3 linked regions of the Tribolium castaneum genome follow. The protein of the gene in region 1 binds, or shares a complex with, the protein of each later gene. Links are inferred from orthologs where the notes say so. Each region holds a gene or a part of one and is shown on either strand. Other genes may lie near its edges. The genes, in order: TfIIFalpha, Tfb5 and Polr2B.

Region 1 (3,834 bases):
TGGACACCAATAAAGATGTTTAATACAGTGGAGCGTAAGTCACTATTACATTTTGAAAATGTTTCGTTTTAATTCAGTGGAAATTAAAATTAAAAACTAATTAAAAATATTTTAATCATTTTCTCTGAGAAATACGCTTGAATAACTGTGATTCTTTCTAAATTCTCGAAAACTGATTCCGTTTTGCGGTTAAAATATCTTTGAATTTCGAAAAAGATCTTTCTACATCACAACTGGTTACAGGAGTAAATAAAAAGTTTGGTGCTAATGCAAAATATGTCGAAGGTGGTACATTATTCGCTATTTGTTTTAAAACTAGAAAATCGGGATTTCTAGTAACAACTGCGTCAATTTTTGCATTAAATTTATCTTGTAATGACCATTCTACAGATTTTAACTCTATCAACGTAGACTCAAATTTCTCAACTGTAATGGATAATTTAAAATTTTACGTTTCTAGAAATTTGATCGTAGTTGGAATATTTCAAAAATTATTTTCAATAAAATTAAGTTGAGAAACTAAATTTGTGGTTAAAACTAAAGTTTTACATTATTTAATGCTTTGTGCATCGTCGTTTAAAGCAATAAACAAATGATTTTAATTGATTAAAATTTTTAGAAATTTGCTTCTAACCAAGTACCACAGCGTGTAACTACAATTGTTGATTCGTCAGAAACGTTACGATTTGTATATTTTTTTAAAAAGGACTTTAAAGAAGGATTATTTAGTTATCTACAAAATGTGCTCGAGGTGAAATCGCAGCGTATTTCCCTTTGAAACGTGGTGTGGTTGAAAACATTTCAAGGGCTAAAAATGGTAAATAATTAAAAAAATATTAATGTCACACCAAAGAATACTTTGAAATGAATTACAATTTTACAATTTAGTTTTACTGGGTCACTTATATGCTTTTTAAATAAGTACATGAGATAAAAATGTTCTTTTGACTTTTTAGATATTATTAAAATTAACTGAGAGTTAGGGCGGTTAAAAGTAAAGGTATAATATTAATAGATAAGTGACATTAATTATTTTTTAATTATTTACGAATTACGATTTTTAGCTCTCGAAATGTTGTCAAAGGCGATGAACACGCTTCAGAGGGAAATACGCTTCGGTTTCACCTCAGGCGCATTTTGCAGTAATTTTAAATTGCAATAACTTGGTGAGTCTTACAGATAACGAAATGATTCTTGCACCAAAAATTGATTTCAAGTATTAGCTTTATTTCGTCTCGATTATGTGGGAGTCTATCTTTTAAATTAAAAAACTTTCTCGCATCTCGAAAATTTCACTACACAATTATGCAACGTTACAAGAAAATGTATTTTTTTTTTGGTTTCCCTTTATCAAAACTCTACCTTGTTAAACTACGTATAAATCTGCATTTATTGAAAATTTGTTTGCAAAAAAACGGAGTTTCTAGCTTTATCCAGAAGGAAGATGTGAGTATGTAAACGCAAAATGTGTCCAAGTTTAGGTGTTTGCAAATTTTTAGCTAAAACGTCTTTTCAGCCCCTTCGCGAGGGTTGAAACAAAAAATTCTTTGTCTAAACATTTTTTAATACTCTTTCCTAACTTATATCAACAATGTAAGCTGTTCCACAACATTTCGATTTAAAGGTTTATCTGACTGCAAGCGCGCGCCCATGCACTAACCTTCGCCCATAAAATTTCCTCACACTGGTTATTACAGCTAAACTAATGATTAAAAAAAACGTTAATAACATTATTAAATTCTCTGTAAAAAATGTTTAAAAATCAATAAATCATAAATACTTGTTGGGCAATATATTTTTCACAGTTTCAATTGAAAATCCAAAATTTTTTCATAGCCTACTATAAAGAAAAAGCGGAATGTTATATTTTTTTAAATATTTAAAAATAATGTGTTACACAAATAGATATATCAAATCAGAGAAAAATAGTATTTTCAAAAATATCACAGCCGCCTATGATTCCTATTTAAAAAAATAAAACTTTATGTTATTGCAGCTAAACTAAAAGTTAAAATAAACTGCTGATAACATTAAATTCTCTGTAAAAAAGTGTCAGTATAATATCTTTGTTTCAAATGTGTATCTTTTATAATAACGAAGATATGAATTTTTTTAAGATTTTGCTAAAATGACAACTTTTGTGTATTAGTTTTTTGTTTGTTTCATTTGAAAACTAATTAGGTTAAACGTAGATAAATAAATTAAAAAAATAATAAAAACAATACTAATTTTCGGACAATGGGTTTATCGAAGGCGACCATGAATTTGACGTATCTTTGACATTTGTTAATCTTGACATGACATGACATCTTGACGTTTGTTAATAAATTTTAGATACTTTTTATTATGCAATTTGTTGGGCTGTTATCAGTGATCATTTAAGTGCGTTATGTTATGTATTACTTTGGTTGTTCTTCTTCGACGCTTTTGTACTCTTTCAAATTATTCTCCCTTTCCATTTTGACCTGCGTCCACTTGGCAAAATCCACTTCAAGATTTCCATTAAATCTCATTACATGGTATCGCTTCTGGACGTTTTTCGGTACTTTGATTGTATACTCCTTAACACCGGCTGGGGCCTGTGATTGCTTCTGCTTGAACAGAATAAAATTAATTTGTGAAAACTTAAAACTGTTATTTTATACGTACAGAGGCGGCTGAACTTGTCGCCATTTTAACCAAATTACAATTAATTGCAAAATTTATTAGTTAAATTAAACTCAAATTAAAAAATAGACCTATTTAGAAAACAGCTGTCAAACAAGTTCGTTTAGAGGTTAGGTCACCATGTCGGTAACACAGGTGCCATACTTAGGGCAGATACTTTCTAACGTGACAAAAACCGTGGAGTCAGTTGTATTTTTTTTATTGTTTTCTAATTTTTATTAACAAACAGAAACATTTATTACAATATAAAATTCCATAAAAACCGGGAAGCTTTTAATTTAAAAAAAAATGTACAACTAACTTTAATTCCAAAAAAAATCGACAGAAATTCTAGTAATTTCAAAAAATCAACCAAAAACTTCGAAATATCAATAATTTGTATAAACTCCAAATTAATTCCTGTAATTTTCATAATTCCCTAGTGGGTAATTCCTGAAATTACAAATAGTCCTAAGGAATTCAAATAATCTCGAATAATTCCAAAAAACTCCAGTCATTCACAAATTATTCCAAAAGTCCGCAAATAATTCCAGCAATTTCATAAATTCCAAAAATAATTTTAATAATACAAAATACTTCCAAAAACTTTAAAGCAATTCGGATGAAATTGATAATCCGATATTGCTCTATTATTTTATAAAAAATATCCACAGGAAATACATGATGAAATGTAGGTATGACTAAGATCGTAAACATTTTAAGGTTTTGTGTAAAATAATAATCCCAAAACTCAAACTGATTAGATATTTTCTATATTTAATAATTTTTGTCAATTTCCTTTTTATTACTTCACTAAATAAGTAGGTATTAGCTGTTTCAAAACTGTAAAAACACCAACGTCGCATTTTACCGAATAATTTTTTTTAATAAGGTTGATAAAATTGTAAAATAATAATTAATCATCGAAATAATTGTTAATCATCGAAAATATAAATTACATTAGCTATTATTTTTTTGAAGTGCATGAAAATTTTATTAGAGCTACACTTATTACTCTTATTAACATCTCATAGATCTATCTCTTACAGTTTTTGAAATAATCGCAAAAAAACAGAATTCTAACTCAATAGTTTCATTTTTAGTCGAAAAAACTTCCAAACATACAATAAAATTGTGCCATTGATTAAAAGAAAAGTTAGATTTGTTCACCATTTTTACTCAAGAAGT
Region 2 (3,364 bases), on another chromosome or scaffold:
CACGTAACTTGATAGCTTCATGAGGCCCGATTTTTGGCCGTTTTGGCGCTTGGGAGTGGTGGAGCCATTGGTGAGGAGTTTCTCGCTGGGGGTGGGCACCGTCATGATGGGGGTAAATGCACTGACACGGAACTTAACACACTTGATGATTTGTGGCCGAGAAACGCGTTTTTTCGTTTTATAACTTTGACAAACGGAACATAACCAAAGAAGTCAATTGTGACGTTTGACATGTGGCTGTGGTTACGTCACGGCGGCTATTAAATCAGGGAAAAATTATAATTAGTGACACGTTTCCGTTATCTATTGCTTAATTCTATTCTTATCATTTGTGTGTAAAAATGTTCGTGATGGCGTAACAACTGTAGAATAGTCGGTTATCAAAGAAGCGTAATTGTAGCCACTTCCAATTTACAGGGAACTGTATTATTTGTACCGACAATTTGAAAAAACAGTTAATTAGTGCCTTATTGCGTAAGTATGGACGAAAACCGGCCCGCAACGATATTATTTATAGCAAAACACGTCATTATATAAATGCTGCGCTTTTTATTTATAATTCGAATGACCACACATCAATATGACATAACCTCACTTTTGCAAATTACAAAAAATTAATTGCTTTTTTCGGCGACTGGGAAGCTAATTTGGTCCATCAGATCGTCGATTTTTGCCTGTAATGTCTCTAAAATATCGGCTGAAATAAATAAGTGGTTTTCATCCAAGTCCTGAATTATGAATTTTCGGCCTAGTTTTGTAGTCTCATCTAAATACAAAAGGAATTGTTTCATGGCCTGGTCACTGAAACAACGCATTTTTTAGGGGAAAATGTTCAAGAAAAAAGGTCTAAGTTTTGAGGAGAAAAAGGCTAGGATGTTGCAATTGTTTCACGAGACTGGGGATTTTTATCAAATGAATGAATTGGAAATAATTGCGCCAAAGGAGAAAGGAATTACGGCGAATTCTGTGAAAGAAGTGGTCCAAGCTTTGGTGGATGATGGTTCTGTTGATAAGGATAAGATCGGGAGTTCCGTCTACTTTTGGGCTTTTCCCAGGTAAATATTATACAGGGTGTCCGTTTTTTTGAGAAGTTGTGCATTTGTATGCAAAACAATTTCTGAAAGAAAATTTTATGTGCCATTTTTAGTTTTTGAATTATTGAGAGAAATTTAAAAAAATGATTTTCGTTTTTATTTTTTTCCCATAAAAAAAACGAAGTTAAGTGTTGTAACTCTGACATCAAGCAAGCCTAGGAAAATCCGATGACAAATTTAGATTCCTTGTAAAAAGTGCCCGAAAAAGTCCTACGTCTAGTTCTTTTGGTTTTCACTTGAAAAAATAAAAACGAAAATTACAATTTTTTTTTTCAAATAATTGTTCAGCATAAAAATGCGCAACTTTGCCCTAATTTAACCGACCTCGTATCTCTTATAATAACGGAGATCACTGAGATAACTGGGAGAGTGTCCGAAAAACGGTATAGACGGGCCAAAAACACGTTTTATCCTAATTACAGCAAATTACTTAACGCGAAAAAACGCAAACTTAACGAGCTTCAAACGAAATTAGAATCGTCAACAAAAAAATTGAAATTAATTGACGAAACTATGGAAAAAGCGCAGGTGGGGAAAGAGAATTGGGACGACAGCCAGATTTTGAAGGAAATTGAAAAACTGGAAAAACAGAAAGAAAAATTCGAATCTCTGTCGAAATCTCACACAGATACTCAAAATTTGAAATTAATGCAAAGTGAGATAAAACCGGTAAAAGAAGCAGCAAATCGATGGACTGATAATATCTTCGCGGTCAAATCATGGTGCAAAAGGAAGTTTATGATGGAAGATAAGGTTTTAAATAAGCAGTTTGGGATTCCCGGAGATTTGGATTATCTGGCATGATTGAGGTTATGTCAAACAAAAACTCAAAAAAATTGTTAGGGCCTTACCAGGTCACCAAAACGCCTTTCATTACATTAACCATTGTTGATAATCGAGAATTGTGTACTTTTTTAAATCAGAAATAAATTATTTTTCTTACAAAAGTTGGTGTTTTTATGACATTTGACAACTTATAGAATGCAACTAACCTCTCACACGTGTATTGCTGATTGCATAATCACAAATTTCCCCAAAATTATATTTTTTTTCAAGTATTTCTTTGAAAAAAGTGGATAAATTGATAACAGGGATTGCTATATAGCCCCATTTTGGAACCCTCCTGTGTACCACTTGACTGAATGATGTTGCACTTTTATTACATAATACCTAAATAAATTCAGGTACAAAAGTCGCACTCGTTATCGAAAGCGGATTATTTTTAAACCATCGGCACGATGATTTTCACTTCTGAGCCCTAATCTCGCCATAAACGATAAAATGATTAAAAAGTACACAAACGTAGCGGTGGGAGTCGATCATAGGTTACAAACTTGGACTTTCACCTAGTTATTGTATCGTTAATAAACCAAACAAAATCCGCATTACACACCACTTTTTACTCGTAACCGAACGCGAAAAAATGGCCCTAAACCTGTTCATCAAGCGAAGCCTTTCAACTTCAAGCCCCATGAACGCAGTTATAAAAAACGTAACTGTGATCGGGGGCGGCCTCATGGGCTCAGGCATCGCCCAAGTAAGTGTACCCCAAACCACCCGAACCTAACCTAACATTCGCCCCCTTGCTTAGGTGGCCGCGCAAACCGGCCACAACGTGACCATCGTGGAAGTCAACCCCGACTTGATCAAAAAAGCCGAAGACAGCATTGCGAAAAACTTGGTACGAGTCGCCAAAAAACTCCACAAGGATGACCCGCAAGCCGCTAATAAATTCGTGAGCGAATCGCAGGCCCGGATTAAGGGGTGCACCGACATTGCCGAAGCTGTGAAAGACAGCGATTTGGTCGTGGAGGCGATTGTTGAAAACATGGATGTTAAGCACAAATTGTTCAAAAATTTGGATGAGGTCGCGCCCCCCAAAACCATGTTTGCGTCAAATACGAGCTCGCTCTCGATTACCGAAATTGCCTCCGTTACGAAGAGGAAGGATAGGTTCGGGGGGCTGCATTTTTTCAATCCCGTGCCCGTTATGAAGCTTTTGGAGGTTGTTAGGACTCCGGAGACGTCGCAGGAGACGTACGAGGCCTTTATGGCGTGGGGCAAAGCCGTGGGCAAGACCTGCGTCACCTGCAAGGACACCCCCGGGTTTATTGTTAACAGGCTTCTGGTGCCCTATATAGCAGAAGCCATCAGGATGATGGAGAGAGGTAATAATTATGTAATATTGAAGCTCGAAGCGAAGCTGAGAGCTTTAAGGTTGCCAAGCTTGTGGCAAATACAGGCGTTCAATAAATCTGATACGACTTGAG
Region 3 (3,600 bases), on another chromosome or scaffold:
CACCAAAACAAATACTTGATATGTGTTTCTGGGACTCTGGTTGTGATCCGGGAAGGGTATAATACTGGCACAAACACCCAAAATCATAGCTGGATGGATCTCACAATGTGTGTAAGTGGTACAATACGCGTATTCCTTCTCCTGTCTCAAATCGTCCGGAGACATCGCAATCATCACAGTCTCCTCTTCCAAAGTATCGATATATTCGACAACCCCTGAAGCCACCAAAACCTGCCACCCGTAGTTATTATATTCCCTCTCTTTCAACATATCAATGTGGCGCTTCTTCAACAATAAAGTCCCATTTTCCACGATTAGTAACGGCCGACAAATCCGTCCAGCATCCGTGTAAATGCGAATCTCCCGGTCCCGAATATCCCGAATCATGGAAACCTCCGACACAATAATATCCATCTGTCTCCTCAACTTGCGTAACGTCGCCATCAACTGTTCGGGGTCCCTGTGAATTCCCACCCAGCAACCATTAACAAAAATCTTGGTCGCGTTGGCTATGGCAGACGGCGCAATCTCCTCCAAATTCTCCATCGACCACTCCTCCAAAAACTCCAAAATTGGAGAGGGTTGCGACCCCACCGAAATATACGCCATGAGGGCCAGATTTTTCACCAGACCAACAGCCGCCCCTTCTGGTGTCTCCGCCGGACAAATCATCCCCCAGAGCGTGTTGTGCAACTGTCGGGGCTTCGCCAACTTCCCGTCACGTCCAATGGGCGAATTAACACGTCTCAAGTGCGACAAAGTCGAGGCAAAAGTCAAACGGTTCAACACCTGCGAGACACCGGCTCTGGCCTGGTGGGCCTTCTTCTGGTCCCCCCAGTTACCAGTCGCCAGAGAATACCTCAACCCGTCCGTAATCAACTTAGTCTTAATGGCCAAGTCGAGGTTAAAGTCTTTGCCCCGATCAATAAATTTCTGGGCATACATCCGTACTTCCTTCATCAAGTTTTTAAACAACCCACGGAACAAAAACGCAAGCAGGGGCCCCGCCAAGTCCAGTCGTTTGTTACCGTAGTGATCCCGATCGTCCAGCTCGCGGCGCCCCAAAGCCGCCAGGAGCAACCGGTGCACCATGTACCCCAAAAAGTAGGCTTTTTTCGTCTCGCAAAAATCGGACACTCCAACGTGGGGCAGCATCTCCTTCTGGAGGATCTCTCGCGCGTATTTGATACGCTTTTCTTTGGTGACGCCCGGCCGGGCCCCCCTGGTCCCAATGAAGTTGAGTGCGATGTTCTGTTCCTGGATCACGAACGCTTCGTCCAGGGACGGTTTCACCATTTCCATCATCTCGGGGTCTTCGAAGTCGTAAATAATGTGCTCGAGGATGTCCCGATCGGCCACGAACCCCAAGGCCCGGAACACGATCATGATGGGGATCTCCTGCTTGATGTAGGGCAAGATCGCGATGATTCGTTGCCCGATGGCGGCCTTTTTGATCGCCTGGCCCCCACGTGCCATCATGTTGACCCAGAGGGTGGACGTGGGGCGCGAGCTGTGCTCGAGACAGGAGCGGATTTCGGATTTGAAGGCGTATTTCCCGTCTTTCATCGAGAAGACGTAGACGGTGTTCGTGGCCATTTTCTCCTGGGCGATTAGGACTTTCTCTGAGCCGTTGATGATGAAGTAGCCGCCGGGGTCAAGGGGGCACTCGTTGAGTTCGGTCAAGTCGCGGTCGGTTAGACCGTTGAGGAGACAGTACGTGGATCGGAGCATAATCGGGATTTTCCCGATGAAGGTTTTCTGGTGCTGGGTCTCAATGGGGTCCTCGCCGTCCTTGACTATGGTCTTGGTGATATCGACGTACAAGGGGGCCGAGTAGGTCAGGTTGCGCAAGCGGGCCTCGTTGGGCATCATGGGCGAGGGGGCGCCGTCTTTCTCCCAATGGGTCGGTTTGGATAGGTAGATCTGCTCGAATTTCAGTAAATACCGAGAGGGGTTTTCAAGCTCGCCGCTTGTGTGCTGTGCCTCGGCTTGGAGGTCGATTTGGGGCGAGTCTTCGACGATTCGTTGCACCGACATTTGGATAAACTCGTCGAAACTGTCCAGTTGTTGCCGGACGAGGCCTTTTTCGTCGAAATAGGCGTTGATGACGATCCAGCAGGCCTCTTGCCACAACTCGGAGCTGATTTCTTCAGACTCTTCATCGTCGAATTGGTCTGAAAAGCCGGTTTTTGTTACAAATGGCTCGGGGGCTACTCAAGGGGGATTGCGTACCTTCGTCTTGTTCATACATTGCTGATTATTTGCAAAAAATGGGGCACAAATGAGACGCACAAAACACAAGTTTTGAGCGTCTGTCAAGTGTCAGTTGACTTTGTATGGGGACCCCAAGAAAACCCTTATTTTGTGAAATAAATTAATATTTTATGTTCGGGGGGTAGCCCCAAACACAATACTTTGGAAAACAAATAAAAAACTTGTTAAATACGGCCCAATTTTTTATTTTCCTGCAATGACCTTGAAGTGTTACGTAACCATACAACAAAAAAGTCTCCAGATTTTCAAGATACGATGTTAAATTACACTATTCGACCAAAAAAATATTTAATAATTATCTGTAATGTGACTTAAAGGTCAGGTAAGTGGTAACAAGTCCAATTTTTTAATTATATTGCGTTTTTGATTTTTTGTGGATTGCACCACGTGACTTCATTATTGGCGCTAAATTTCAAACTCCATGGTAATATATTACTTTTTTATTAGGAACAGTCATATCATTACAATAAATAGCTTAAAACTATCACTACAATCAGACTGTGAGCAAATTTGGCTGGGTTGCTTCCTGAGCGTGCAAAGAAAAATCCGGTCCGTTTTTTACCTGCAAAATACACTCATTTTTTGTCGCCTAATCCATAAACTTACTCTTCTCGTTGGGGTCTTGTACTCCACACTGCTTGTACGCAATTTTCACCTTACGTTTCGTATTAATAAACCCTGGAATGTACAATGTGGGGGTGTCTAAACGCCCACTTGCCAGCAATCGGCTGAAATCCTGCTCTAATCGGTTAGCTAGCGGTCCTTTAAAATGCAGCAAAAGCTGGACGCAAGCGTCGCTGTGCAAAGACTTGGTTTTGCGCGAATCTACGGTCAAAAACCAGTCGGGGATTCCCAGAATTTCGCGCACTTCTTCGATAAACTGCGACAGGACAAAACGTGGGGGCTTTTCGATGTTTGCGTACTTGATTATGTCATAGTCGGGCTCGATATTGGCACAGGCGTAACGTTCGGGACGTCTGTTGGGGCTCATGATGACGATGGAGCGCCCGATTGCCGTGACGTCGCCTTCGAGCGGGAAATTCGCATCGGTGAAGACTTTGCGCTGGAGCCCGATGTCGATGGTCCCCAAACGGGCCGACAGGTCCCCCACGTGGCACCTGAGCGGGTTCTCAGGCCCGCACTCTTGCCGATAAAGATCACCCTGAAACCAGAACATTATATTATAAAATTAAAAAAAAAGCAAAATATACATTGAGGGGGTCGGCCAGTTGGGTGAAATAGGGGTTCCAGATGTAGCCCCCGGCCACACACCGCGTGTTCTGGGTCTTGACGGCCGCGTCCACGCCCACTGGGTTCACGTAAATG

What was found.
Region 2: TfIIFalpha (region 1) and Tfb5 share a complex: the UniProt entries of both Homo sapiens proteins name them as parts of the TBP-based Pol II pre-initiation complex. The link is inferred for Tribolium castaneum from reciprocal best matches to the Homo sapiens genes GTF2F1 and GTF2H5.
Region 3: TfIIFalpha (region 1) and Polr2B share a complex: the UniProt entries of both Homo sapiens proteins name them as parts of the TBP-based Pol II pre-initiation complex. The link is inferred for Tribolium castaneum from reciprocal best matches to the Homo sapiens genes GTF2F1 and POLR2B.

Annotation. Positions count from the first base shown.
Region 1 is NC_087400.1:9,147,558-9,151,391, reverse strand, and holds the start of TfIIFalpha (general transcription factor IIF subunit 1), read right to left. Parts: upstream 2,804-3,834; 5' UTR 2,674-2,803; coding exon 2,650-2,673; intron 2,595-2,649; coding exon 2,404-2,594; intron 1-2,403. UniProt on the Homo sapiens protein: TFIIF is a general transcription initiation factor that binds to RNA polymerase II and helps to recruit it to the initiation complex in collaboration with TFIIB. It promotes transcription elongation.
Region 2 is NC_087399.1:6,497,843-6,501,206, forward strand, and holds Tfb5 (general transcription factor IIH subunit 5), read right to left. Parts: upstream 2,088-3,364; 5' UTR 1,981-2,087; coding exon 1,946-1,980; exon of another isoform or gene 1,899-1,945; coding exon of another isoform or gene 1,517-1,898; intron 1,056-1,516; coding exon of another isoform or gene 829-1,055; exon of another isoform or gene 823-828; intron 802-822; coding exon 615-801; 3' UTR 530-614; downstream 1-529. Other genes in the region: heix (ubiA prenyltransferase domain-containing protein 1 homolog), read right to left, coding at 1-105; meiotic nuclear division protein 1 homolog, read left to right, coding at 829-1,055, 1,517-1,898; hydroxyacyl-coenzyme A dehydrogenase, mitochondrial, read left to right, coding at 2,518-2,631, 2,686-3,262. UniProt on the Homo sapiens protein: Component of the general transcription and DNA repair factor IIH (TFIIH) core complex, which is involved in general and transcription-coupled nucleotide excision repair (NER) of damaged DNA and, when complexed to CAK, in RNA transcription by RNA polymerase II.
Region 3 is NC_087395.1:24,235,265-24,238,864, forward strand, and holds the start of Polr2B (DNA-directed RNA polymerase II subunit RPB2), read right to left. Parts: upstream 2,391-3,600; 5' UTR 2,252-2,390; coding exon 2,233-2,251; intron 2,175-2,232; coding exon 16-2,174; intron 1-15. Other genes in the region: uncharacterized protein Rsod, read right to left, coding at 2,736-2,836, 2,881-3,436, 3,486-3,600. UniProt on the Homo sapiens protein: Catalytic core component of RNA polymerase II (Pol II), a DNA-dependent RNA polymerase which synthesizes mRNA precursors and many functional non-coding RNAs using the four ribonucleoside triphosphates as substrates.